Cricetulus griseus: one gene and its partners. The protein of the gene in region 4 interacts with the protein of the main gene of each other region in a pairwise test. Links are inferred from orthologs where the notes say so. Each region holds a gene or a part of one and is shown on either strand. Other genes may lie near its edges.

The links.
Region 1: the proteins of Ap2m1 (region 4) and Egfr interact in binary tests that used the Homo sapiens proteins (3 or more experiments, as listed by UniProt). The link is inferred for Cricetulus griseus from reciprocal best matches to the Homo sapiens genes AP2M1 and EGFR.
Region 2: the proteins of Ap2m1 (region 4) and Dvl2 interact in a two-hybrid assay, tested with the Homo sapiens proteins (2 studies listed by BioGRID and IntAct). The two-hybrid records come from large-scale screens. The link is inferred for Cricetulus griseus from reciprocal best matches to the Homo sapiens genes AP2M1 and DVL2.
Region 3: the proteins of Ap2m1 (region 4) and Tgoln2 interact in a two-hybrid assay, tested with the Homo sapiens proteins (2 studies listed by BioGRID). The link is inferred for Cricetulus griseus from reciprocal best matches to the Homo sapiens genes AP2M1 and TGOLN2.
Region 5: the proteins of Ap2m1 (region 4) and Fxr2 interact in binary tests that used the Homo sapiens proteins (3 or more experiments, as listed by UniProt). The link is inferred for Cricetulus griseus from reciprocal best matches to the Homo sapiens genes AP2M1 and FXR2.

What each region holds. Positions count from the first base shown.
Region 1 is NW_023276807.1:89,406,909-89,412,980, forward strand, and holds the start of Egfr (epidermal growth factor receptor), read right to left. Parts: upstream 3,693-6,072; 5' UTR 3,678-3,692; coding exon 3,597-3,677; intron 2,976-3,596; coding exon 2,792-2,975; intron 1-2,791. UniProt on the Homo sapiens protein: Receptor tyrosine kinase binding ligands of the EGF family and activating several signaling cascades to convert extracellular cues into appropriate cellular responses.
Region 2 is NC_048600.1:83,853,060-83,858,288, reverse strand, and holds the end of Dvl2 (segment polarity protein dishevelled homolog DVL-2), read right to left. Parts: coding exon 5,177-5,229; intron 5,065-5,176; coding exon 4,995-5,064; intron 4,909-4,994; coding exon 4,769-4,908; intron 4,689-4,768; coding exon 4,612-4,688; intron 3,961-4,611; coding exon 3,893-3,960; intron 3,565-3,892; coding exon 3,436-3,564; intron 3,362-3,435; coding exon 3,230-3,361; intron 3,108-3,229; coding exon 2,928-3,107; intron 2,502-2,927; coding exon 2,283-2,501; intron 2,142-2,282; coding exon 1,693-2,141; 3' UTR 1,149-1,692; downstream 1-1,148. Other genes in the region: Acadvl (very long-chain specific acyl-CoA dehydrogenase, mitochondrial), read left to right, coding at 77-149, 232-304, 397-469, 566-641, 711-851.
Region 3 is NC_048601.1:64,347,520-64,353,608, forward strand, and holds the start of Tgoln2 (trans-Golgi network integral membrane protein 2), read right to left. Parts: upstream 4,008-6,089; coding exon 4,002-4,007; intron 2,079-4,001; coding exon 1,607-2,078; intron 1,373-1,606; coding exon 66-1,372; intron 1-65. UniProt on the Homo sapiens protein: May be involved in regulating membrane traffic to and from trans-Golgi network.
Region 4 is NC_048597.1:68,099,247-68,105,295, forward strand, and holds the start of Ap2m1 (AP-2 complex subunit mu), read right to left. Parts: upstream 4,160-6,049; 5' UTR 4,039-4,159; intron 1,962-4,038; 5' UTR 1,919-1,961; coding exon 1,845-1,918; intron 224-1,844; coding exon 1-223.
Region 5 is NC_048600.1:83,485,476-83,490,889, reverse strand, and holds part of Fxr2 (fragile X mental retardation syndrome-related protein 2), read right to left. Parts: intron 5,263-5,414; coding exon 5,210-5,262; intron 4,898-5,209; coding exon 4,804-4,897; intron 3,662-4,803; coding exon 3,590-3,661; intron 3,489-3,589; coding exon 3,340-3,488; intron 2,844-3,339; coding exon 2,750-2,843; intron 1,215-2,749; coding exon 1,098-1,214; intron 1-1,097. UniProt on the Homo sapiens protein: mRNA-binding protein that acts as a regulator of mRNAs translation and/or stability, and which is required for adult hippocampal neurogenesis. Specifically binds to AU-rich elements (AREs) in the 3'-UTR of target mRNAs.

The DNA of each region.
Region 1 (6,072 bases), on a different chromosome or scaffold from region 4:
GAAATAATAACTTTATGTATGAAGAAGACTCAAATAAACACCAGTGTTGTAAAGTCACATAAGGCTATACAGTCTTTTGAAAGTGGAAATGAGAGGACTTTGCAAAGTCAGGGTTGAGAAAAAGTCTCACTTGTAAAAAGGGAGAGGGCTACATTAATAACATTAGACACAAACATGGATGGAATGATTTATGTATAGATAATCCATTGATGCCCTGGTCTGCAAAGATGAACCTGACTTGTGGGCTTCTCTCTGAGAACTGAAATGCACAGAGAGACAGGTATATCGCAGCTATGTCCAGAGGAGACAGGACTGAGAATTGGGTTAGTTGATGTGTAGGTATTACCTCACCAAGACCCAAAGACTATCATTGAGATATGGGGAAAAGCCTGGAGAGATGACATACGCTGCCCTACTAGGGGACCTGGGTTTGATTCCTAGCACCTATATTGGGTGGTTCACAATTGCCTGTAACTTCAGTGCCAGTTCATCCAATGTTTCTGGCCTCCATGGGCACCCACACTCACATGCACACCCCACTTCCACACATATGTATATAATTAAAGTGGAAATAAAAAGCATAAATGTGGGGAAACTCAACTATAGACACAAAAGTGGCTGCCCGACTGCACCCGCAGGGAATGGAAGCACCTGTCTGTACAGTGTGCTGACATGGAAAAGGAGGATTTCTCTGGGAAATCTTGCAGAGACTGCTGGCTGACAAGCAGAGATGATTTGCATGTGTTCAGGGGCAGCATTTAGAGGAAAGGGAAGTTGGAGGTGCTGAAGGCTTCCAGCAGACAGAGACACAAAGCACAACTGTAGATCTGGGGCAGGTGACAGTTTTCTTAACAGATGCCAGGGGATAAAAGAACTTCAGAAGGAAGGTGGGCAAGTCAGAAAGAGCCAAGATGTGGAGCTCTACCTGGAAAATAGAGATGACAGCAGTATGATAGAAACAAGAGGAGACAGAAGTATAGGGTCAAACTTAGCAAAAGAAGACAGGCACATCAAGGTTGCAGTGACAACCAAGAGAAGAGACAAGGAGGCACAGGGAGGTGGGAGAGCCAACAATAGGTAACTGATAATTGGCCGGGGGCAGGATTCACTAGTCTCCTCCTTCTAACTGAATAGAGAAAGGCAATGAGTAGAAAGTCAAATCTTTTGTTTTTATTTCAACATTTGGGAAATGCTCAGTTGTGGCAGTAGTCCTATATTAAATAACTGGGACCAATAAAACTATAACCTTGCTTTAATTAGAAAATAGGGGTAGTTCAGTTAGAGCATGCACACACAGACACACATATAGACAACAACAGCAAAGTAGGAACTCAATAGCTGAGGCATGCTTTGTCTGTAGTAATACAGTTGATTTTTGTCAACACAGAGGGAACACATTAACAAATATGTGTACTACATTTTGGACGTGAGGGCACTGAGATACAGAGAAAAACACAGGTGAAGGAATATCTGCAAAGTCGTTTGACTGACGGGTGATGGAGTTGGGGCTGGAACACAGACAGCCTGGCTCCAGGATCTAGACTCACACCCGCTGGCTTCCTCACATGTATGAGGCAAGATAGGCAGAACAAGGCATGCCGAAAGTACCAAACAGGCCATTTCATGCAATGTGTGTACAGGAGAGATGAATGCTAGCAAAAATTCAGAAACATGCGTGGGTGCTCAGAGCAGTTAAAGTGGTGGGTGGGAATTCTGGAGGCAGTTTATGGGATGGTGAACCAGGGAGCTGAGGAAGGAAGTGTCTGGCTGGCTGTGTGGCCACATCCTAGCTCAACACACCAATAGGGTCCCATTCTCTCTACTTTTTCTTCCACCGCATCCCCTTCCCAGTCCAAATGGCTTCCCCATCAGAACTGCAGGGCACACAGGGATGAAAGAACCAGGCATGGGGTACAGGAAGAGTTATCTTAATGCCATGCCTTTATCTGTAAAATGACAGAGTACAACACCTGCTTTTATGGAAGGCTGTGGCATTAAGTGGAGTTACTGACTTGAGAAACAGTCCAGGAAATGGAGGAAGAATTGTTGTTTCTCATCATTTCAGCCACCCTTTCCATTTTCCTCTTCAACTCCAAAATCTTCCTTCCTCTTCCCAACTTACACCTGAGTTTCCATGTAACAATATTAACCTTGAAACCTATTCCTCAAACAGGACAGATTTTAAATACATTAGATCCCTTTCCCATGAGTGGTTTTGGGGTCCAACTGCTGTTGGTCCACTTTGGGAGAAACATCAAGTGACCAAATTCACAAGCATTTGGTGAAGCACACTAATTGTTCTGTTATTTTTCATTGCTGTTGTTAATGTTTTGCTATACCTAATCAATGAACTGAATGATGAGAGCCATATAGATTCAGGAAAGGCATGGCATGTATGGTTTTGGACACCTAATGTTTCAGACATCCAGTTTTGCCTAGGAATGCTTCCCTGCAATATGAGGGAGTGACTGCATGTCCTTTCTGCCTCTGGCCCAAGTTTATTTCCTATTAACACAAACTCTCACTCACCGAGGTTGACCGGAGAACTTGGTCATTTATTTCCATCTCTGGATGTTATTCCTCATCCATGGAAGAACTGGTTTCTACCTGGCTGAAATCTCTTTCCATCTCATTACCTATCATCTTTGTAACTGCCACCCACTGAATCCTGCAAACAGCACTCAGTACATGTGTTTCACAAACATGTCTTCTCTGAGTTAGGATTAACTGAAATGACAGATTTGCCACATGCCATCAGAATCCCTCTTGGCCTTGATGTCCCACCTCTTACCCTGTAGGTTCCGCATGGGCAGTTCTCTAAGCCCGGTTCTGTTTGTCCCATAGTTGGACAGGACAGCTAAGGCATAGGTGTTTTCATACAGAGTGTTCCCCCTGATGATCTGCAGGTTCTCCAGAGGGATCTTCTCCACAGTGTTGAGGGCAATGAGCACATAGCCAGCAACCTCCTGGATGGTCTGAGAGGGAAAACAAAGCCTATTAAAGTGGGCCCAGGAGCCCCATTTAACTTCACAATGACACATTCATGTGGCAGATAAATCTAAGACACATAGACAATCACATGTGGGTAAAGGTTGTGGCAGGATTTGCAATGATTTCTTTCACGTTTCATTTGAAGGTTACATTAAAGAACAGCTGATTGATATGTTGTGATTCCCACTTTAACTCAAATAAATGGAAGTGAAAATAACTATTTTGAATTCATCTCTCATGATTTCTTGTGGAAGGAAGAAGTGAGGGAGAAGGGGAAGAAAAAATGAAAAAGAAATAAAGGCAAAGTAAACCCAGCTGAAGTCCAAGTGTTTGCATAGCAGATTTTGAAGCCTTCAGAGTTGGCTCCTAATGGCTCACTAGGAATATTTAGGACTGTGGAACATCAGAAGGGTTTCTCTCCCATTTTCCCCCACAAGCAACTTGACTTTAGCTGGAAGAGTGGACTTCTCATAACACTCTCCTATAGTCCCTTGGATTTGTGGCTTCCATAAGATGAAGTATCCATGCCTCAAGTCAGATTCTACTGAGTGTTCATATTTCATTTGATAGTGTTTGAATAGGACAACCACATTAAACGAACTAACCTTTAAGAAGGAAAGGTCATAACCCCTTTGCACGTAGGTAATTTCCAAGTTCCCAAGGACCACTTCACAGTTGTTGAACATCCTCTGCAGGCTCAGAAAGTGGTCTTCAAAAGTGCCGAGTTGAGTGAGCCTGTTACTTGTGCCTTGGCAAACTAGAATAAAAGGGAAAGAGGTCTGTCAGAAGATGCCGAGTAAGGTAGCAAACCACAACAAAACAATACTCATCAGCTTTCTGAGCCACAGTGACTAACAATCATCTTTGATCAAAGCCACCACAATGCTGATGTGGTAAGAGATGTTTAAGTTTACACAGCTGTAATTCATCGTGAGACAGAACTCATCCCTGTGATGCAGGCAATCATGTGATATTAAGGACACAGAGAAAACAAAGCATTAAAAGTGGAAGGCGGGGGAGATGTAAATTGTATAGAGGATTGTATTAGTTACTTATTTTGTTTCTGTGGCAAATCACCAGACAAAATCCACTTAGTGAGGGAAGGGTTTATTTCAGCTTACAGTTCTAGGGAAGACAGTCAACTATGGCAGAAAAGGAATGGCAACCAAAATGTGGAACATCTGGTCACATTGCATTCACAGTCAGGAAGAAGAGAGAGGTAAGTACCTCTCAGCTCTCTTTCTCCATTTTAATTAGTTTGAGGACCCCAACCATGGAATGGTTCTGGCCACCTTTAGGGTAGAAATTCCCAAATCAATTAACCTCATCTAGAAAACTGTTCACAGATATGCCCAGATGTCTATTTCTATAGTGATTCTAAATCTTGTCATGTTGACAATCAAGTTTAACTGCAGAAGTCTCTAAAATAGAAAGATAGCAATTAAATTTCTGTGGATGACACAATTGCAAAATGAGTTAATAACAATGCAATGAACATTTTACTTCACAAAAATATGTGTGCTACATTGTTGTGTACACAAAGGGTCTCCAAAACCACAAGACACAATCGGCAATGTTTTCTAACCCCAATTCTATATACCTAAAAATCAATGAAAACAATGGAATTTTAAAAGTCAGCTGTTAGAAATTAAAAATACTCCTCAGAATCATTCAAGGACAAATCAAAGTTCTGATTATAGAATACCCAGAATTCTTTTTTAAACTGAAAAATAACGCTTTAAAGCCATAGGCTAGTAAGAACCCAACATGTCCTTCTGTCTTTTTTCACATTGTGTTATTCCAACTAACACAGGTATCCATGTTTGTCTTGCATCCCCGCCAATATACAGCCTGTCAAGACACAGACTTAATCCGAGAAAACATGCGAAATTAGGGGCCAAAGTTATACCACAGAAATGCACTCAGTAGTCTGCATTTAGAAGCAGAGGAAAGGATAGTAATAAAATGGTATTCACAACTTGGCTTTTGGGGAGACATGTTTAGGCAAGCAAAACAAAACAAAGAGGCTTGGAGCTTTTGAAGCAGGGAGCTTGTTAAAGGATATACTTTGAACCAAAATTATCCTAAGAGTGAAGAAATATGGCCTCTGGGTTTAGACATTACATTTGGAACTGGCCAGATCCTTCTGTGTTGGCAAAGTTTCTCCCTTGACAGTCACAGTAACGAGGGGACAGAGCACAAAATAAGGCCAATGTCAACACAGTGTTACTTTCTTCAGGTACCTTTACAGTATGTATTACTGTTTTATAGGCTTCTTTGTTCCCTCCCCTTGGGTTGTTCTAAGAGCATCATCTGTCTGGCCTGGCATGATGGAGCCACAGTAAGCAACCGGCACATGTTCAGACACCACATAATCAACCCAAGGCATTTACAGACACTATGAAGCAATCTTCTCATCCTCTTTAACTCTATGGGAATCTCCCTAGCCCTCTTCCATTTTCTCTAATTCAGCAGAAGTAAGGGCTGTCACATAGAAACTGTGAAAGTTGACAGGTTTGGCTCCCTATCTCCCACCTGTAAAGACAGGGTAACTTCATAATTCTTCCAAATATGACTTTGACTTGACCCAATATGTCTGGTCTGCTTTTATCTAAGAGAATGAGCTGCTCTGATGTTTGCCTCCACTAGGAACAACTGTTTAAGTCTTCTGTGCATACAGATGCTTAGGATGCCGCTATAAATGTATCTTTAGGGGTTTGGCAATAATAGGTCACCTTCCCAAAGTAACATTGTTGATTGGCAGCTACCTTTCCAATTAATAGGCAGTAGCTTTTGATTTTAATTCTTACTGATCAATCATGGCCCCAGTCACCACAGGTGACTTGTTCTCCATATCAGAATTGTATGCAGAACCCTCTATAGATGGGACCCATTCAGAAGGCATTCTTCAGCACATTTAATTATATTCAGAAATACATTTAATTATATTTAATAAAAAAATAAATAACCAAACACTTCAGCTTGCCAGTTTCTTTAAGTTGACATTAAGATTTTTCTTCGTTATTAAGCTAATTAGAAAGTTTTGTCAAACAAAAGTCAAAATATGGCCATTTGAGATTA
Region 2 (5,229 bases), on a different chromosome or scaffold from region 4:
AGGGACAGGGCCAGGGAAGACAAGATGGTAGGCATGCAGCAACTAACCAGTCACCCACTCTTCCATTTCTTTCCAGGCGGACAGGACTTGGGAGTGGTTTGAGTCTCTCCGGGGTTGTCCACCCAGAGTTAAGTCACAGTGGTGAACTGGTGAGTGGTCCTTTGAGCAGAGCCTACAGCCGGGGGCTGGGCTGCCTTCTTCTTCTGAGCTCTGTGACTCTTGTCTCTTCAGACAGTGCAGGCTCTGGAGCAATTTGCCACTGTAGTGGAGGCCAAGCTGATGAAACACAAGAAAGGGATCGTCAGTGAGTGAGCCCTGCAACCCCCTTACCTTCCGCCCCATTCCCTCCCTCCTCCCCTCAGACTGCTAACCCCCACACCCTCATCTACCTGACAGATGAACAGTTCCTGCTGCACCGGCTGGCAGATGGAGCCATTGACCTCTATGCCATGGTGGTGGTTCTCTCCAGGTAGGAAGGCAGAGTGGGAAGCTTGGGAGCTTTGAGCCACAGAGTAGCTGGGCCAGTACCACAGCACAAGATTATCAACCTCTCATTTCCTTACAGAGCTTCAAGATCCCTGAGTGAGGGCCACCCCGAAGCACAGCATGAGAAAATGCTCTGTGACAGCTGGTGTATTGAGGTGAGCCTTGGAGGTACCCAGTGCAAGTGGGGAACTGAGACAGAGGCCTGACCCTCTTTTCTCCCCCAGGCTGCAGCACGGATCCGAGAAAACATGGCTAACCTGCAATCCAACCCTCAGCAGCAGCAGCTCTTCCGTAACTTCAAAAGCATCTCCAAGGCCATGGTGGATAGTGGTGGCGTGGTGACCAGCAACCCCCTTCGAATCTGAATACACCCAGTCAGGCTCTAGCATCTAAGTTATGTGCCTTCCCTTATGCCAAAACACAGGCCCCCTTTATGGGGCCCCAATAAGTGTTTGTTCTCTGGATTCTTTACTGCCTTAAGAACAATAAACTTTCTAACAAGCCACCCTCTGCTGCTGCATCTCTCCAGTCCCTCCTGTCCAGAGCCTGCTTCCATCCCAACTTTCTAACAAGCCCCTCTGCTGCTGTACCTCACTGGTCCCTCCTCGTGTCTCCCTCTTCTCCACTGCCTGCCTCCCAAAGAAAGGAGCCAGAGGCTTGGGGAATTGGCCTCTATTGCTTTATTTGGTATTTTATACAAGTGACTAAAATAAATAGAGTAACAAAGGCAGCTACACAGTCCCCATGTACACACCACCAGCTTCCTTGGACTGCTGTCTAGGGTACCCAGGCCCCCCCCTTCCTCTTCCCAGGGTACCACTAACCACCACCCACCCTCCAAGTGACTGCTAATGAGGCAACTGGAGGTGGTGGTCATATTCTGGGGTTAGAAGGGACCCAGGAAATTTTATATGAAGGGTTTCTTCACATAAAAGAGAAAATGTCTACTAAAAAAATACTCCCCAAAATATAAGAAAGTCTATTTTAACCCCCCAAAAGGCTTATAAAAAATAAAGCTAAAAATAACCAAAGGTCCCCGACTACCCCTGAGGAAGGGGAAGGACCAGGCACTGCTGGTGAGAGTCACAGTGGCAAAAACATTGTGGTAGGTATCAAGCACCAGGATGAACACAGGCACTATAAGGAGCACCAAGCTGAAACTTGACAGGCCAAGGGCACGGACCCAATGCGGCCTCAGGGTAGGCCCTACATAACATCTACAAAAAATTCACTGGGGTTGCCCATGGCCATGTGGAAGCTCTGACGGCTAGCTGTCAGTTCTGGGGGCACAGAGCCCAGGTCTCTAACTGGAGGAGCACCAGGGGGCTGCACTGCAGTAGAGACAGGGGGTGGGGGTGGAGGCATCATGACTACCATCATGGGATTATAGGGGAGAGCCATGCCAGGGGGAGGTCCATAGGGATGGAGCCCTGGAAGAGCTCGGAGATTAGGAGTACCGCCTGTTGAGCCCCTGGATGGAGGGGGACCCCCATCACCAGTCCCACTGGGTTCCCCACCCCGCCGAAGGCTGCCTCCCCGGCTGGAAAGCTCGGACTCACTGCCACTGCCAGACTTTGACTCAGGGGCCCGTTCCTCAGGCCTCCCTGTGCGCCCGGCCCCCCCATCACTTCTTGTTGACCCACTGCTCCGGCTCCCTGTTGGGGGGGGGGGAATGGGGTAAGTGAAGCTCAGTCCAGAGTCCTCTGGATTCCCGAAGCCCCTGCTCTTGCCTCCTCCCTGAGTCCCCTCTACCGTGCCCTCACTCTCTAGCTGTATTAGTATGTGGGGTGACTTACCTTCACTGTGCTGGCTGCTGGCACTGCCTCCACCGTAAGTATAGGATGAAAGCTCGTGGTAGGGTGGAGGCTGTGGGCTGTATGGGTGTGGGGCTGGGTACTGGTAGGAGAAGGTAGGCAGCAGGGGCCAGGGGGTAGCTCCAGGAAGAGGAGCCAGGGTATCCTGGTCAGAAGCCCCACTGGAACCATCATTGTCGTTCAGAGACAGGTTAACTAGGTCTGGAACAAAGGGAAAGAGAGGTCCCTGTTTTAAGAGGCCAGGATTCCTGAGAACAGAGAGAAACCGGGAACCATTTCCCCAGAGCCACCCACAATGGGAAGGCCAAAGGGATTATGGCGGCTTGGAATAGGAAACTCAGCTACTAGGGCACAGACACAACCAGGGTCACTAGCCCAATATGCTTTTGTGGGACTCATGAGGCACTCTTTCCCTTGGGAATACAGTTCTGCAACTAGTACCTGGCTTGTTCAGCAGTATATAGGCACATATCAGCCCCCATGGTTGGCCACTACAAGGCCAAGCGTGGAACACACAGTGCCTGACTACCCTGGTGGCCATGGCTACAGTTCCTGGGCCAGGTCTAGGGTTGGACTGAAGAACAAGGTAGGACAATCTGCTCTCCCACACCAGGGAAGGTGACTTACAACTTTCACAGCCACCACTGAGGTCCCCGAAGACATAATAGCACTGCTCAGAAAAAGTAATCTTGTTGACAGTGTGTCGGATGAGTCCCGCCTTCAATAGTCCACTGGCATACTTCCGGGCCTCCCGGCGCTCAGGAAAGCCTTCCACATGATGGTACAGCCAGTCTACCACATCTGAGCCTGAGATCAACAGTGGGAAAAGTCAGACTTTCCTCCCAAACCCTACCCTCACCCTTGTGCTGTTCCCGGCCTTGGTCTCTTCCTCCCCTTCCCATGCCACCTTGCTCAGGGTCTGGGAATACCTAGAAAGGCATTTGGGATGGTGATCTTGAGCCACATGCGGTCCCGAACTTCTAGCCCAGATTCTGGAGCTGCCATGGCCTTGGTCACAGAGGCCATGTCCATGTGGATAGAGAGACCCCGGCTTTCACAGCCTAACAGAGGAGAGAACAGAGAACTGAAGAAAGGTTCACTCAAACAGGGAGGTGGGAAGGGACTTGAGACTCACCATCAGGCAGGGACGAGCCAGATGTAATAGTGCTCATAGATGAAGAGCCCGGATAAGCAGGGAAGGTGCCAGTCAGAGCAGCGGAGTGTGACACCCAGGCAGCGGGATCAATTGGCTGGATGGGCTCATCTGGTGCAAAAGTAAAATAATCACCACTCAATCGTACGAAACTAGCCCTGTCCTGTCCCTCCCTTGACCTTCCTGAACCCATCCCCTGTAACTTGGAAGCCCACCCTCATCTTCTGGCACCTCTAATCTCTTTTTGTTCTTGTTTGTTTGAGGCAGGATTTCACTCTGTAGCCCAGGCTGGCCTGGAACTCACTATATATTCCAGGCTGGCCTCAAACTTTGGGAGAGCCTCCTGTCTTAGCCTCCCAGATTCCAGGATCACAAGCTTAAGCCACCATGCCCAGGCTCCCCAGATCTAACTTCAGACCCCTGCCTGAGCATCACTCACTTCGGGGGAGGGTGAAGTAGGCCTGGGGAGAGGGATCCCAGCACTTGGCCACGGTCAGCACGATGGGGCTGTGGAAAAGAGAAGGCCAGTCACAGTCAAGCACACAAAGGGAAGAGACTTCAGAAGTACCAACGTCTGATGCATAAGATACAGGAGAAAGGAACACACACATAACTGGGCTATGAGAACGTGAGAGTGGAGGGCTCCACAATGTGGATGACTCACCAATATGGGCAAGTTAAAAACATAGTGCTGAGTGAAACAAGGGAGTACACACTGTACCATTCATTCACAGGAAGCACGAGACAGGTAACACTGAACCATCTTGTTCCAGGATTCAGGCATGGGTGGAAAAACCCATCAAAGGTTTTCTTGACCAAAGAAGTCAAGAGAGTAATTACCATCAGTGAGGAGGGTGGAAGTGGGAAGGAGTGTGCAGTGGGTGGGCTTTCTGAGGTAGTCACCAAAATTTTTTCATGATTTAAGCTGGAGTGACATGTACTGCCACTTAGATTTGTTATTTTGCTTTTTTTTTTTTTTTTTTTGAGACAGGGTCTCACTATGTAGACCACAATCAAAGTGCCACCTGCCTCTTCCAAGTGCTATGATTAGAGGTGTGTGCCGCCATGCCTGGCCTCACTTCTTTTTTAAATTGCACAACAAAGGTGAAAGAACTTAAAAACAAGAGGCCTAAGGGTGGGAACCTAGCAGAGGCTCACCCTGGTTTGTGCACAATGTCTCTCAGTACCCGTACAGCGTCATCATTGCTCATGTTCTCAAAGTTCATATCATTCACCTGGAAGGGAGAAGTGGGTCAGAGGCAATGTGGGAGGGTGAGAGCCTCTGCCCAAGCCAGTGTCCAACCTGTCAGCACACCTGCAAAAGCATGTCTCCAGGCTCTATGCGCCCATCAGCAGCCACAGCGCCCCCCTTCATGATGGAGCCGATGTAGATGCCTCCGTCACCCCGCTCATTACTTTGGCCCACAATGGAGATGCCCAGGAAGTTGTACTTCTCTGTGGGGGGAGTTCACATGAGGGGACTAAGCCCCAGAAACCCTGGAGACCCTCCCCTCCCCTTCTCTCATTAGGAGCTTCCATACCCATGTTGAGTGTAACTGTGATGATGTTGAGAGACATTGTGGAATCGGTGACACTGCTAAAGGATGAGGTCTGTGGCAGGAAGACAGGAAAGAGGTGAACTGCTCTTCACCAGTACAGAGACAAGCCCCAAGCCTCTGTGGACCAGCTAAACAAAGGCCCACTTCTCCCAAAGAAACCTCACCCTTTCCATGCGTGGTGGCCGCTGCTTTCTCCGCCTTCGGTGGCGCTTGAGGA
Region 3 (6,089 bases), on a different chromosome or scaffold from region 4:
TGAGTGGCAGGTAGCTGCTCATGCACCAAACTCTCAGGGTTAGGGAAATCCCAGTCTTCTCTTACCTTCCGTTTGTTGTGGTAAGCAATATAGAGGACAGCAACAAGAACAGCTGCAGTCACCAGATAAGCAAAGAAGTGGCTGCTCTCTGCACTGGTGTTTCCAGAACTGTCCTTATAAGAGTCATCCTTCTCATCATTCACAGACTCCCTAAGTGTCTCCTCTCGGTTCTCACTGGAGGAAGGGTCAAACACCTTTTCATTATCTTCTTCAAGCGGTGAGCCCTCTTCTGGCTCTGTATCACCCTCTTCAGTCTCCTTGGTTTCCACAGCTTCGGTAAGCTCTGAAGACTTCCCTGGCTTTAAAGAAAAGTCAGAGTCCCCTGCCGGTCTCTCCCCAGATTCAGTTTTGGAAGTAAGCATTGGTTTCTGTCCTTTTCCAGCTAGCTCCGTCTTGTCAATCTTGTCGGTCTCCTTATCTGAGGAGGGTTTGGAGATGCGGTCGTCCGCAGGAACTTTTGTGAGCTTATCTGAATCATCTTTTGGGGGCTTCTGCCTAGATTCATCGGGTTTGGGATCGGGTGGCGGAGGCTGCTGTGCAGTCCCGGTTGACTGGGTATCTGCTGTCTGGGGCTGATTTGGGGATTTGGCTGCAATGACCTGCCGCTGTCCAGATCCCACCGAACTGGAAACTGCTGCCATGGTCGACGCCACCGTCTCATCCGGGTTTGGGTTAGCGGGCTGCTGTCTCTGATCCGTCTGCCCGCCTGGCTCTCCGGGCTGCTGCCTCTGACCCGTCTGCCCGCCTGGCTCTCCGGGCTGCTGTCTCTGATCCGTCTGCCCGCCTGGCTCTCCGGGCTGCTGCCTCTGACCCGTCTGCCCGCCTGGCTCTCCGGGCTGCTGTCTCTGACCCGTCTGCCCGCCTGGCTCTCCCGGCTGCTGCTTCTGATCCGTCTGTCCACCTGGCTCTCCCGGCTGCTGCCTCTGACCCGTCTGTCCACCTGGCTCTCCGAGCTGCTGCTTCTGACCCGTCTGCCCGCCTGACTCTCCCGGCTGCTGCTTCTGACCCGTCTGCCCGCCGGGCTCTCCCGGCTGCTGCTTCTGACCGGTCTGCCCGCCTGGCTCTCCCGGCTGCTGCTTCTGACCCGTCTGCCCGCCGGGCTCTCCCGGCTGCTGCTTCTGATCCGTCTGCCCGCCTGACTCTCCCGGCTGCTGCTTCTGATCCGTCTGCCCGCCGGGCTCTCCCGGCTTAGACTCCACTTCCTTCTCAGGAGACATGGGGCTCTGGTTGGAGAGTTTTTCTTTAGAAGACTGAATCGGAGAATTATCGTTACCTGAGGTGATGAGTGGGTTAGATTCATGCGGCGTAACACCTGAAATAGAAAAAGCAGTTAAGCCCTCGGAAGAAAAAGCTGGGAGAAGAGAAGGGGGCTTGGCTTCTCAGCGCTGGAAGATGCCAGCGGTGATGGCCGAATGAGAGAAGGGTGGAGATGGCCCGAGGGTCGGGCCAGGAAAGGAGGACGCCAGCTCCGGTGGTAACCCGCCAAGGTGAAGACGAGAGAACCTGAGGGAGAGGGTGGGATGGGGCGGGGGCTGGGGGGTCTTACTCGCCACTGCGACACTTAGGAGCAACGCAACTAGGAACCGCATCCTGTAGTCTGCACTTCCGCCCTCTTCTGCTGACGTGAGAGCGGCGCGAGGGACTTCGAGCCTGTGGCCACTCCCTTTCCGGCGGGCTGTTCCTCTTCCGGCGCAGCCCCGCCCCGGGGGCGGGGCTAACGGGTGCGGGCTGTCAGCGGCTGAGTATTCCGGTAGTGTGCAGCGCACGTGAGGACCCGCTCTTCCTCTTTTTCTCAGCACCCTGACGAGCTCAACCGCCTCTTCCCTGTGCACGTGTCCTCGTGCTCTGGGAGTTGTTCTGCGCGGCTGGCGCTGCGTCGCCCCTCGAGGCTCATGATATGGGGTCGCGGGGCCGGGAGCCGCTTCGCCGCGTCGTCCGCCGGTTCCTCTGACATCTCCGTTGCTGGTGGTGCTTTTCTCACTCCACACCAAAACGTACTCTGCTCGGGGCTTTCCCGTCTAGAAACAAACACTTCATCACTTTCGTTCCTGGTCGGAATCTCTTTCTTGACGGTATCTAGGGCCCTCTGAATTTACCACGGAATTTTTTTTCCCCTTTTTCTGAATTTGTTTGTATTTGATACTGCATTACTCTGCGGACGGGCTAGCGTCAAGCTCGTGCCTCCCGAGTGCTTAGGATTGCATGCGTCTCGCCACGCCCCCTTCTGGGGCTATTTATTTATTTAAGACATAAGGTATCAAAGATTTATTTTGTGTGTACCACCTATGCGCGGTGTCCTTTGAAGACGTGTATCAACACTGCCTGGCAGCAATATATTCTTAATAATTCAAACAAGAAAGCAGAAAAAAAGGTAATACTTATAAAAATTTATTTTAGGGAAGCCCAGCAGTGCGGTACATGCCTTCAATTCCAGCACTCAGGAGGCAGAGGCAGGAGGATCTTTGAGTTCGAGACCAGCCTGGTCTAGTTTCAAGCTAGCCAAGTCTACATAGAGGAACCCTGTCTTAAAAAAACAAACAAGAAAATACTATTTTAGGGGATAGAGAAATGATGGATTAGTGGTTAAGAACACTAACTGCTCTTCCGAAGGACCTGAGTTCCATTCCCAGCGCTCACAAGATAGCTAACAAAGGTCTGTAATTCCAGTGTCAGGAGATTTGACACCCTCTTTTGGCCTCCACAGACATAGTACGAATATGGTGTACAGACATACATGTAAGCAAAACATACATTTTTTAAATTCTTGCTGTTTGTTCATCTATTGATTATTATTTGCATTTGTTTCTTGTATCAGCTGTGATAGGGCTGGGTTGTTTAAACAGGTTGCTTGAAATAATTTATGAACATTTGCCAGTTTAGGTATTTTGTAAACAATGATTTAACAAATAGCAGGTCCTAGCTCAAACCAAAAATCCCAAAAACTATGTTCGTTTTGTTTTTGTTGTTTTGAGACAGGCAGCTTATAGCAGACCTGGAGCTCACTCCAAAAAGCAGTTGACCTTGAGTTAGCATCAGTCTTCCTTCCCCTGCCGAGATTACAGTTGCGTGCCACCATGCCACGTTAAATGGTCCTCAAAACTGGGGAGGTTTAAGACAGAAGCTATTTTAAATAAAATTATGAAATTATTTTATGTGCATGTGTGTTTTGTCTCCATTTATACCTATTTATCACGTGCCTGTTTGGGGCCCAAGGAAGCCAGAAGAGAGAATTGGATCCTTTGGAACTGGAATTGAGAGATGATTGTGAGCTGCTGTGTGTGTGTGCTAGAGATTGAACCTGGGTCCTCTGGAAGAGCAGCCAGGGCTCTTAAACTCTGAGCCATCTCTCCAGCCTCAGAGGCAAAGGATCTTTTGAACTGCCAGATTTTGGAGGCCAGCCTGAAGAACAAAGTGAAACTCAAGTGCATAAATAGCCAGTTGTGGTGGTGCACGCCTTTAATCCCAACACTCAGGAGGCAGAGTCAGGCGGATCTCTTGTGTGTTTGAGGCCAGCCTGTTCTACAGAGTGAGTTCCAGAACATGCAGGGCTGTTGCACAGAGAAACCCTGTCTCAAAAAAAAAAAAAAAGCAAAAGTACATAAATAAATACAACTTTAATTTCATAAAGTAAGCAATCTGGTGAAGTACATAACTACCACATAGATGTTTATTCATGTTTACTGTAATGGTTCATTTTTATTGTCAACTCGATGGGCTTTAGAATCACCATGGAAAGAAGTCTCTGGGCACTCCTGTAAGGGATTATCTAGGTAAGGTTAACTGAGGTGGTAAGACCCACCCTGTGTGTGGACATTAGTATCTCATGGGCTCGAGTCTTGAACTGAATAAAATGGAAACCAAGCTGAGCACAACATAGAATATTCATACCTCTCTGCTTCCTGACTACAAATTCAGTGTGACCAGCCACCTCCTGCTCTTACAGCCATGATTTCCATTCCATGATGCTCTGTGTATTTCTGGGAACTGTAAGCCAAAGTTAACCTTTAAATTACATTTGTCAAGTAGTTTGCAATGATCTCCAGACAAATAACTGATTGAAAGCATTCCAAGAACTGCCAAGCAGAATATGAAAAGTGTGTATCAGCTGAGGAATGAACCATGGGACTGAGGACAGAAGGTTGTAGATACTTCTGGGGACTAATGAAAGGAGAGAGGGATGAGGATTCCTGGCAGAGTGAGCAGCACATGCAGTGTGAACCTGGTGTTGTGGGTAAGCCTAAAGAGCAAGCTTGTTGTGTGACAAGGATAATGATAGAGAAGGAGGTTGGAACAGAGCCAGACCGAGAAACCAGTGATCTGGGAGTTGACGAGAATGTAAGTTTTTATGCAATAGAAAATATGTCAGCTAACTCTGGTTGACAAGTAAACTGGGCCCACTCCAGCCAAAAAGGACTATAGCCATAAGAAAGTAACACTCTGTGAGAGGCCTGGATGTGAGATATGATATATGATATGATATGATATGATATGTAGTCCTGGATGGCTGAAATTTTTCAAAATTTCAAGAACTAGTACATAACACAACTACAGTTTTAGAAACAAGGGCCTTTTCTGTTATTTGAATAAAAATCCCTTTAACAGGCTCCTCACCACTTCTCCCCATCCTTTTCCTCTCCCCTCTTACATTACTGAAGAAAGAATAAAAATCTGATGAGAAGTCTACCAGATTATTTCAGGAGCTGGACGATAGCTCAGTGGTAAAGTGCTGCTTGCCTGACATGTGAGAAGCCCTGGGTTCCGTCTCCAAAACTCAAAAAAAAAAAAAAAAAAAAAAATCTTTAGAATGTTGACTCTGCCTTGGCTAGAGGAAGTGAACTGGTAAAGGAAACTTTTTCTAAAAGAAAATTCTGTCTGCCTGCTTTAAGATAAATGTTTGACTAACATTTAAGGATATTGGCTTAGTGAGGGTGTGGGTGGGTGGGGAGGGTAGTGGCAAATGATTAAACCTGACCTGGTGTCCACATTACTAGGTAGGGGAGGAAAAAAGGTCTGCTCACACAGAGCTCTTGGACACTGAAGAGGTTTAAGTAGGGGCAAGTTGTAATCAGAGTGGAGAATGTTTGGCCATTACTTGGCTGGTATCACAAAGAATTGACTTGGGTAGTAGGGGAAAGGGATCAGGAGACTCTTGCAACAGTCCCAAGTTGTGCACAGGCCCAGAGAGCATGATGGGAGGTGGTCAAACTGGAGATGCGATTGGAAAGCAGTACCAATATGCTTCCGAGGTAGACTGGAAAGGAAGCAGAGGAAAGACGGGGAGGGAGAAAGGAAGGCACTTTCTCCCTGAGGTAGGAACGAACCACTGCTCGAGAACCAGAAGGAAATGAATTTGCTTCTGGTCAATTACTTATTACTTTGGTTTATCTTCACTTTAGATGATTGTGATAGCCAAGAGGAGAGGTGTTGGCATGGTAACTGGAAATGTGAGCATGGAGTTCAAAGCAAATATAGGAACCATTTTCCTCAGTATTATTTTGTTTGTTTGTTTCTTGAGATGGAGTTTTTCTGTATAGCCCTGGCTGTCCTGGAACTCACTCTGTAGACCAGGCTGGCCTCAAACTTACAAAGATCATCGGTCTTCTGTCTCCCAAGTGCTGGGATTAAAGGCAGAATTTTTTTTTTTTTTACCTAGAGCTATTGTTAATATTTTTGTAGTCATATATGTGCACATGATAGTTAACTGAAAATACAGCAAGTTTTAAAACCATGCATACAAATCCCACTGTACAGGCCTCCAAGTGAGTCATGTCATTTGTCATCTGGGACATCATCTCCTTGATTTCCACTGATTTTATTTCTCTCTACATCCTTAGAAGTCTCTGATTTGTCACAGAATGTAGTGCTTCTAGAAGGAAAGTGAAATGAACAGTATCAAACAGCACCGGGTTGAAATAAGATTTCAGATTAGATGCTGCGCTGGCTGGTTTTACAGCAACTGGACATAAGCTGGAGTTATCTGAAAGGAGAGAAACTCAATTGAGAAAATGCCTCCATAAGATCTCGGGCAT
Region 4 (6,049 bases):
TTCCTCACTGATCTTGCCAAAGTAAGCAGCCATTACATCACACATCTTATAGAGGAATTCGAAGACCATGGCAGCATTGACATTCTGCTTGGTGACTGCTGCAAGCCAGATGTTGGACCGCTTAACATGGAAGAAGCTGGTGCGAGCGATGTTTGTGACAGGGCTGCGCACCTGCTGCCGTGCATGAATCACATTGACCCGAAAGGCATCCACTGCATTCCTCCTGAGGGAAAAGGATTCCAAGAGGCTGCTCAGCATCTAGGCAAACCTCACCCCATGATGGTCACCTACAGATGCAGGCAGCTATACCCTCCACACTACTAAAACGGCATATATTCAAAAGTCAAGGCTTAAACCACCAGGGCTCCCTTCTTATAGTAGCCAGTAAGGCCATGGGAAGAAGACCTGCGTTGGGCTGCTTTCTGCAGGCCATAAGAAGTATGGGAGTCAAATGATGACAACAGAAGGGAGATGTAGCTTTACTAAAGTAACTCCCAGGCCTGACTTCAACTTCCTAGATATAGCCCAGCTGTCACCTCTCTAGCTTTCCAGGAAGTTCCAGGCCCTGAAGAGAAAGATCTCTATTGGCCCCACCAATGGGGAAAGCCAACTCCTCTGGAAGTTGGACAAAGCTAGTATGACCTCAGGGAAGATTCTATCCTATAGGGTGAGAAGGAGCTATGGACTGTGCCACCCAATTCTTTTCTAAGATCCAACTCCAGAAGGGGATGAAAAAACGATGAAGGAAAACAATTATGGGGAGCAGGACCCCCTACCCGCCTGTACCTGAGTGGCAGCATAACAGGCTGCTTACCTATTGCTACATCAGCCAATGAGATGGGATGAGAGAAATGACGCCATCAAGAGGAGGAGAGTGACAGCAAGGAGAGATAGGGTTAGACAACGCACAACACACCAAGGGCGGGGGCAGCACATACCATGAGGGGGCAGCAGACAGGCAGCAGGTGGGGAGCACACCGAGACATGCGGGGAGTCATGTGGCTTAGCTGTAGCATCAACCAGAACCATCAGAGAGGTAGGAGGAAGAGGAAGGGGTGAGTGGGACCAGCCAGGCTCACTTAGGCAAGGCACTGCCACAAAGCCTACCTCAGCTTTACAACAATGAATGCAGCCACAGAGGCCACATCAAGTGAGCCCATCAGCCAGGGAGACAAGAGAGGAGAGCTACGACAGAGCTATTCCATGACTATTTCTCTCAAGCTCTTTGAGAAAGAAACACAAGGTAGGAAGTACCAGAGGAGCCTAGCCTCAGGTTAGAGCAGTGGAGGATCTTAGTAAGCAAAGCGCCACGGTGTAAGGCAGAGAAGCAAAGCTGCAGGGAGCTCTCTGTAAGGTCTAAGGGACTTAGGACATGGAGAGAACTACAAAGGCAGCATGACCCACAGAGCCCTTCAAGCCTGTTCACAATCAGAAAGGGCCCAGAAGTGAAAACAGCCAAGTCAACCCACCAAAGAGGATTTTACAGGGATCTAGGGAAGACTCTCAATATGAGAAGCATTTTGAAAGCAAGATTTGGATGGATTAGTGCCTCGCCCTGGTACTAACTACACCCACTGGAGATAGATAGCGCTCCCTCCTGAATGGAAGAATCAACCTGACTGGGAAAGCACTCATCGTTAGCAACCAGACCTAACCCTCAGAGATACAGGAACAGGAAGGGCGGGGATTCATTCCTAAGCCTGGCAGCTTGGGGGGAGGGTGTCATTCCGAGGGCCCGAGTCTCGATGCTAGGCCAATGGCTAAATGGAAACCAGGCTATATTGCATGCTCAGGCTGAGGTGACAGGGAGGTTGGGGTACAGCATGCTCAGCCAAGGAACTTACCCGATGTCATCTCTGTACACCCGGGAGATGAGCACCTCCCCCTTGTGATTATAGATGAATAAACCTCCAATCATGGTGGCAGCTCAGTCTCTGTGACCCATTGCTCTGAGAACAGACCTATGAAGGAAAGGTGGGGGTAGGGTAAGGGAAATCTTCAGAACCCTTGCCCAAGCCCCCAGTGGGGCTATACAGGCTTGGCTTTTTTCCTGACTCAGTCCTCTAACAAGTGACCCTGCAGCTTTCCTAGGGAAGCCCCACCTCCTCAGCTAGGCTCCAGTTCCTGTTTATTCCACACTGGATAGGAGAAAGCAATTTCAGAGCGTGGGGGCCCATGATTAAGGTCACATTCATCTAGTCTTTCCCAAGGGTTGGGCCAGAGGGTAACCCCCACCCCTTCTTCACAGTGCTGAGCTCAGCAAGGATTCTTTCCAACCCCCTGCTGTGCAGGCTCCAATTCAGGCTCCTTCCAGTGACTCACTGAGAAGGCCTGCCTGCGGTTGCAGAAATGGCAGTAGAAATTACTCTAGTTGGCTTGAGCCTGGGACCTCCACCAGGCACAACCTTAGAGCAAGCACTAACTCTTCCAGGAAGGCAGCAGAGCATGAACCTCTAGAAGTCTACACATTCCAGGAAAGGGTGTGCAGGAGGGGGTAGGGGAGGGAAAGCAGGCCCATGGAGGCAGGAAAGTGGCTGAAGCAGGTACATCTTTCCCAGGCAGTGAGATAAGCAGGCAAAGGAGCAGAGGCCCCCAGTGCTGACAAAACACACTTCATAACCCAAGTAGCTTATTATAGTTCTTCCTAAAAAAGATTTTATTTTACCTTCATGTATGTACATGCCAGTGTGTGTGCTGTGTGTATGGAAGCTGGATGTGAAGCAGTGATGAGCCACCTGACATGGGTGCTGGGATCTGAACTCAAGTCTTCTGGAGGAGCAGTAAGTACTCTTAAATCGCTGAGCCTCTCCTACAGTAATTTCTGGTCACTGTCCTTTCAAAATTTTGAAGTGCATTAAAAATAAGGTCTGTGTGTAGCATTAACCCTCCCATCTAAATTATGATCTACCAGTAATTCACTTCAGGCCTGGTATTTAGAAACAATGGGCAGGGATCATAGAATGCCTCAATTGTCCAAAGTATTTGGGTCAAAACTAATTTAGACTATTGGAGAAAAGGGGTTATCTGGTTCTAGATTTTCTGGATTAGCCCAGGTATTAATTTCACAGGAGTTAGTTTAACAGACTTTCTGAAACTGGAAAATAAATCCAAGACCAATGACAAGTCTCTTAAGGTGGTGGACTCATTTGCATCTCACAGTTCCAAAGAAGCTGAGAAAAAAAAAATGTAAAATGGAGGTTGAGTCCTGAGCAAAGGACTAAGTCCACAGGTAACAAGCAGAAGGTAGCTCAGGGCACTGGAACCGCGGATGGGGGTTGGTTGTACTTGTGTGTGTCCTGGACAGACATGGAATATTTAGTTAAGGGAATGGTTAGCTGTAATTGCTAGCAATATACTAGGGTGACCCCACAGCAGCTAAGACGGCTGTGCGAGGCCCTAAATTAGTTCTCATATAGCAAAGGTCATAGGTGCTTTTGAGGAGCAAAAATCGGCGGAGACATACTGACAGTAGAAAAAGGGAAAGCTGAGAGACAAGGCCTACTCTGCGGTTAGTGAGGCTTGAGAAGCCGGTGGGGTTTTCTCAGCCAAGGGAGGAGATATCCAGGCCAGGGAGATGGCACCGCGGCATGCGGGGGCTGTCACAGGTCTGAGGAGAAAGAGCCGTGGGGGTTAAATAGGAGGAAGGAATATCCCAAGGTTCGAGACCTGTCACTGTCCAAGGGAGTGGCACAAGGGGATGTCACTGTCCTGGGGGATGGGGGAGATGGGACGCCTCAGGGCTGAGCGCTGCCAGGATTCTAGGGGTGGGGGCGCCGCGCGGCGTCCTGGCTCTAGGATTCGGGCCCCTGTCTCTCCCCAGAGACGCCCGGCGGGTCACTGGAGGGCGTCGCTCCCCGCCCTTGCTGCAATCGCGCCCGAGGCACCTCCGCCCGGTCGTCCGCTCCCTCCCGGGTCTGAAGGCTGAGGCCACTCCCGGGTGCGGGCAGTTTTGCACCCAGGGCAGTGCAGGGCACGGCCGGGGTCCACGGCGCCCTCGCCAGCCCGGTAAGGATCGGTAAGTCCAGCTTCCCAGCTCACCTGGAGTCAGCAGCCTCCACAAGGCCGGCGGGCCACTCTCGGATCCCAAGATGTCCGCCCGCCCCCTGCTCGCCTGTCCGCTGCCTCGGCTTTCACTGCAGTGCTCCCGCCCCGCCCCGCCCCGCCCTGATCTCAGCTGCGCCTGCGCACTTGCCTCCAGCGGCGACTACAAGTCCCGTCAGCCCCCGCAGCTTTCAAACTGCTAAATCAGAGCGCCCTAGGTTTAGCAAAACTACAACTACCGACGGCCTTCGAGAGAACCGACGCGAGCCTTAGTGCGTCTTGCTGGCAACACGCGTCATAGTACACTCCTCCCATTCATTTGCTTCATTGAGTATCATGGGAAGTGTAGTCTCTGCAATCCTTCCAATTCCTAGTTAGATTGTTTCGGTAGGCTTTGAGAGATCAAAGCTGTTTGTCCAAACCAGTTGTAAATTTTGAATTACTGTAGTCTGTAATTGTCTTCAGATTCCGAAGACTGGCTATCTTCACTTTACAAACAGAACTTGGCATGAGCCTGTTAGAGCTGAATTCTCTGCTTTTTAACACCAGGATTGATTCTCCCAAGGTAGGTGTCGATTACAATCATGACTGGGCCTCTCCCAGGGCTAATTATCCAAAGAGAAGAGTGGGGAGGGCAAATCTTGGCAAAGCTAATTCTTGGCAGAACTAGGTAACGCTTTTCTCAGCTAAACCTGTGACTATGTGTGCTGGTGGTGCACTCCTTTAATCCCAGCACTGGGGAAGCAGAGGCAGGAAAATCTCTGTGAGTTCGAGGTCAGCCTGGTCTACATTGGGAGTTCTAGGACAGCCAGGGATACATAAGAGACCCTGCCTCAACCCCACCTCAATTTAGTTGGGCATGGAATTAAGAAATTCCATCTCTCATGTTATCCAAACTGAGAGAATGAGGTGGAGCTAACCCTGGACACAAAAAGCCTGCCTGGTTCTTGCCAAATCAAGAAAATGTGGTTCTTGTCCCTCTGTAGGCAGAGACATCCTGTTGCTGAGCAGGCCCAAGACTTCTATATGGTGGAAAGGAATGGGGTGGGGTGGAATGGGGAAATCTAGTTGCTAATCTTACTATTCCTAGCAACCTCCTTCCAGAAGCCAGGACATAACAGGATGAAGACATGACATTTCTCAAAAGACTATCAAAAGGCTTTGGGACATTATTCAGTGATCAAAACCAGATACTTCTAACCCTTGAACCACCATTCAAGATTTCAAGTCTATCTTTGCAAAAGCTTTCCCTTCCCAACATACTCTAAATGTTTGCCAATTTAGAGTAAATTAGTAATGATAATAATAATAATAATAATAGCTACCATTTATTGAGCACCTACTCTATTGTGTGCCAGGCACTGTGCTAGGCACTTTTCGTACAATATCTAATTTAAATCCTCACAACAACCCTGTGAGGTAGGTATTATTATCATCATTTTACATACAGGAGGACTGAGGCTCCAGAGAGGTTAAATAACTATTACACAACCAAAAATGGTAGAGCTGGAATTCAAACCCAAACCAACCTGACTCCAAATCCCGTGCTCTGTAAATTAAGAAGGAGGAGAGGAACAGCTGAACTTCAGAAAGAGTGCCAGAGTGGAAGGGTGTGATATGCTGACTAATACCATGTAGGAAGAAGGAATTTAAGCCCATAAATGTTCCTGGCTGGTGGGCCTATGCAGATTGTGGTGAAAGTCACCAGGGCAGGGATTCAAGAGGAATAATACTGGTCTAGGGACATATGGACATGCCTCTGGAGATGTCCAGTGGGTAATAAAGAGATCTAAAGAGTGGGGGAAGCTGGGGTTGGAAATTCATGTTTAGAAATGGCCAGCATATCAAAAGCAATTGAAAAGAGAATGGATGACACTATTTTGGCAAAGAAAGAGCAGTGAATCAAAGATGGGATCATGGAATGCTGGCATCCAATGCGTGAGCACTGTAGCGGGGTTCTTGAGAATATGGCAGAGTCAGGGTATTGGAGACAGGTAAGACTGAGTCA
Region 5 (5,414 bases), on a different chromosome or scaffold from region 4:
CACCAGAAGAGGGCATCTGATCCCATGGGCCTACAGTTTTAAAAGGTTGTTAGCTACCATGTGGGTGCTGGGATTTGAAGTAAGAACCTCTGGAAGAGCAGCCAATGCTCTTAACTACTAGAAGGAGCCAAACCTTCAGCCCTGGCAAAATAAATCTTAAAAAAAAGAAACCTGTTCTTTTGGGACTGGCAAAGACATATATATCAAATGGAAGGAATGGTGACTTCACCTCCAGCTCCCTCTCAAAAACTTGTAGAGGAGTTGAGGGTGTGGCTCATTAGAGGGACACCTATTTAGCATGCCTTTAATCCCAGCACTAGGGAGGCAGAGGCAGGCTGATCTCTGTGAGTTCGAGGCCAGCCTGGTCTTCAGAGCGAGTGCCAGGACAACATCCAAAGCTACACAGAGAAACCCTGTCTCGAACCCCCCCCCCCCCCGCCAAAAAAAAAATAGACACCTATTTAGCAAGCAACAGACCCTGTGTTCTATCCTCAGCCGGGAAGAAAAAAACCTGTGGGCTGGGTTATAGTTCAGCATTTGAGAAGCAGAGACAGGCAATTCTTTGAGGTTGAGGCTAGCCTGGCCTACACAGAGTTTCAGGTAAGCCAAGGAGTCCAGTAAGACCCTGTTTAAAAATAACATTTGCCATGCCGTGGTGGTACACGCCTTTAATCCCAGCACTTGGGAGACAGGCAGATAGATCTCTGAGTTTGGCCAACCTGTTTTATACACCAAGTTCCAGGACAGCCAAAACTATGTAACACAGAAACCTGCCTCAAAGTTTATTATAGAAAGGAAGAAAGATAATCAGTACATTTTGGCCAAATATGATGGCATATCTTTTTAATCCCAGCACTCAAGAAGGCAGAGACAGGTGGATTTCTGTGAGTTCGGCATATAGAGTGAGTTCCAGTACAGCCAGTGGTATGCAGAAACCTTGTCTAAAAAAAAAAAAAAAAAAAAAAAAAAAACAAGACAGAACATGATAGAACATTGTCATCTGGAGAGTGTGAGATAAAACAGCCAGAAACACAAGAAGATGTGAAAAGAAAGAAGGACAACATTATTGAGCATGAGAAAGAGCAGCCAAAACTTGCCTCTAGGTGCTTGGTGGCTTCTTCATTGCGGGACATAAGCAGCAATTTAGTTCGAAGGCTTCGAAAATGCATATCACCCAGCAAAGATGCCCTCTTCACAGGGGCTTCTGTGGTTGACTGGGAAGAAATGAATAAGTTTTAAAAGCAAAATACACCCCAGGGAGCATCAGATACTGGGCACCATAATGCCAGAATCCCTGAAAGAAGGCTCATGTCAAGATGAAGTTCAGCCAGGCCATGGTGATTCAAGCCTTTAATCCCAGCACTCGGGAGGCAGAGGCAGGCAGATCTCTGGGAGTTTGAGGCCAGCCTAGTCTACAGAGTGAATTCCAGGACAGCCAGAGCTACACAGAGAGAAATCCTGCCTTGAACAATAATGAAGTTTAAAATAAGACGTGGTAACACATGCCTATCACCTCAAACCTAGGGAAACTAAAGCAGGAAAACTGTCACAAACAAGTGCTGCTTCAGCTACATAGTAAGTATAAGGTCAGCTGGGGGTATACAGTTAAGACCTGTCTCAAAGGAACAAAAAAGAAATGAGGTAGGCTCCAGGGAAATTACTGTCAGTTACATAGTGGCCGGACAGACAAATTCTGACAGAAGTCATTTGACAATAAGGACTTAGTACAAGGTGAGAGTTATATAGCGTGCCCCCCCCCCAAAAGAGTTATATCAGGGGTAGTGGTGAATGCAGCAGGTAAAAGCAGGTAAATCTCTGAGTTTGAGGCCAGACTGGTTTACATTGTGAGTTCTACTAGGACAGTCAAAATGTGACCATTTCAAAAAAAGAAAAAGATTTCTTTATATGTGTCTCTCTGTGAATGTTATGTATACATAGGTACAAAGACAAAAAGAGGGTGTCAGGTACCCCAGAACTGGAGTTACAGGTGGTTGAGAGACACATGAAAAAGGTAGAGACAGGAGTTCCCAAGGCTGGCTGACTGGCTAGTTCTGGATTCAAAGAAAACACTATGTCTTGTAAAGCGTACAGTGACTGAGAAAGATAACTGACACCAACACTTCAGGGCCACCCCCTCCCAATGTGCAATTCAATGCATTCAAGTATGTACACACACACACAAAGATCCTGATATATCCAAGAGCTAGGGTACTTGTCTAGAGCACATAGGTTTAACCTCTCACACTGGGGGTTTGAGATACGGCTCAGTGGTTAAGAGCACTAGAGCTCCTCTTCCAGAGGTCCGGAGTTCAATTCCCAGCAATCACATGGTGGCTCACAACCATATGTAATGAGATCTGGTGCCCTCTTCTGGCCTGCGTCATATATGCAGGCAGAACACTGTATAGTACGCAATGAATACATCTGTAAAGAAAAATGTTCTCTTAAAAAAAAAAATCTCAGCTGGGCATTGGTTTAATCCCAGCACTCAGGAGACAGAGGCAGGTGGATCTCTGTGAGTTCGAGGCCAGTCTGGTCTCCAGAGGGAATGCCACGACATCCAGAGCTACCCAGAGAAACCCTGTCTCCAAAAACCAAAAGTACATGAGGAAAACTAAGGAAAGAAGGGTCAGGAGTAACAAAGTCACAAGTAAGTGTGAGTGCAGTCTAGCATATCCACTTCTGCAAAAGTTTATAAAAGGGAAAACTGTTGAAAAGGCCCATGTTAAATTCAAGAAAGAAAACTCACCAGAATAAAGAGCTCACTGTTTGTGATGTTGAGAAAGATGCAATTGGCTCCCAGTGCTTTCTTGAACTCTTTATGGACATTTTCATTGGAGCAGCTGCAGGGAAGAGTAAAGTGCCCAGTAAGAGGTTGACAAAAAGAAGAGAGGAGAAAATAAAGATAAAACCACTGTTTTTTTTTTTTTTGAGACAGGGTTTCTCTGCGTAACAGCCCTGACTATCCTGAAACTCAATGTATAGACCAGGTTGGGATAGAATCATTGTTGAAGAATAGGGATTAAGAAAACTGTTTTTAAAAATAATCAAAGCAGGGCATAGTGGATCTATGTGACTTAAAGGCCATTTTGTTTACAAATGGAGTTTCAGTCCAGCCAAAGCTTGCGTAGTGAAGCCCTGTCTCAAAATAAACAAAACAAAGACAGACAGAAAGGAACAGAGATGAAAAATGAAAGGGCTGCAGATGTATCATGCAAAAAGGCCCTCACAGGACCTGGGGATGAACAGAACAAACTGAAGAGTGGGAGACCTGGGAGAAATAAGGACAGAGGCTAGCACTGTAGAGAGCCCCCAGTTCCCAACCTCTCCAACACTCACGCCTCTCTGAGATCTTCAGGCACAGCCATGGTAACCTTGAAGAAGCTGCCTTTGGTTGCAAGGGGGTTGGGATTAACAGGCCGAAGTCGTTCCAGGGTGACAATCTCATTGTAGGTAGCATCACAGGCAGCATACTCAATGACATAAAACTGGCGAAAGGAAAAAGTGTATGACCTGACCATCCATTTGCTACCTTTCCCTGGACAAAACAACAGTTTCAGGACTTCCCCAAAGGGCTTTAGTCACTCACATCTCCCTTCATCATCCGAACCCGGGCCAGCCACCAACCACAAGGTTCCTGTTCATTGGCTCTTGAATAAACCTGGAAAAGTTAGAAATACAGAGACACAGCCCTGAAGACTATATTAAAAAACTGAAGAAATAAAGCCGGGTGTGTTGATGCACACCTTTAATCCCAGCACTCAGGAGGCAGGAGGATCTCTGAGTTGGAGGCCAGCCTGGTCTAAGTAGTGAGTTCGAGGACAGCCAAGGCCGATACACAAGAGAAACACCACCTCAAAAAAATAAAAAATAAAAAACAAGGGCTAAGCCAGGCGTTGGTGGTGCAAGCCTTTAATCCCAGCACTCGGGAGGCAGAGGCAGGCGGATCTCTGTGAGTTCGAGGCCAGCCTGGTCTCCAGAGCGAGCGCCAGGATAGGCTCCAAAGCTACACAGAGAAACCCTGTCTTGAAAAACCAAAAAAAAAAAAAAAAACCAAGGGCTAGAGAGATGGCTCTTTGGTGAAGAGCACTGCCTGCTCTTCCAAAGGTCCTGAGTTCAATTCCCAGCAACCACATGGTGGCTCACGTCCATTTGTAATGAGATTTGGTGCCCTCTTCTGGCCTGCAGGCATACATGCAGGCCAAACACTGTACACATAATAAATCTTTAAAAAAATAAACAAAAGAATTGGAGAAAGCATTCGGACACTTAAAAAGGATTCCTAAGCCCACAAAAATAAAACCAGAGTAAGGAGATACTAACTGAAAGTATGAGATCACTGAGTTTTAATTATTTCATTTTTCTTGTAGTGGCCAAGAGCTCATGGCTGTCCTGACCACCACTTGTGAGCTGTGGCACACTCCTGCCTACAATCATGCATACACACCCCACAAACACACAAATATGCCCAAGGCGCTGGGTTCAATTCCAAGTCTCACTCACACTCAAACTCACATATGTATACTACAGGACTAGACTTTAAGTGGATTTATCACACACAAAGAAGTGTCCCCTTTAAACTGGTGCACCCTCAGATCATACCCATGAAATCAGTTAAGTTAAAAACCCAAAATCCAGCTGAGTCATGTGGATCTCTATGAATTTGGGACCAGCCTGGTCTTCAGACAAGTTTTCAGGCAGCCAGAGAAGCCCTGTCTTGACTAAACAGAACAAAAACAAAAACAGAATCCTGAGGGGAAAAAGGCAAACTAACACTGGAAAGCTGGACTTCACAGGCCTTACCTCGACCTCATCACCTTCTGTGATCTCCTTATTATAGTCAGCTGGAGGTGGTAGCCGGACATCCCCAAAAGGAATCTGTCTCTCACTTTGCCAGCTACAAGACAAGCAGTGACATGAAAGCTATTCAGGTTGATGTAATTGTCCACCTTTTCACAAGGGATTACTCCCTTGCCAAGACCACTTTTATCCTACTTGATCGTCAAAGAGTCACAACAGGCTCTTTTTCCATAGTGGTCTTTTATCCCTTGATACCAAGTATCAAATGACTACAACTTGCACCTAGCTATCTGCCCTTTCTTTCCTGGAATTCTTACCCAAACTCTCAGCTCCTCCCTGCCACCTACCAGTCTCCACCTTTCACTCTCCTTTTAGGACCTAGTATGTTTGTCTACTCCCAAGGTCTTACTTGTTTTCAAAGAAGATGGTGACAGAGTCTTCATGGACATCCTTCACAAAGCCCTAGAAAAAAAAATTTAGGAAACATATGTAAATATATTTAACCACCTTAGCCATCAGGAAGAGAAATCAGAAACCTTTAAAATTAAGAGGTTTAGCAGGGGATGTGAACAGTCTAAAACAATCAGGAAGCTGTATTGGAAAAGGATATAAAG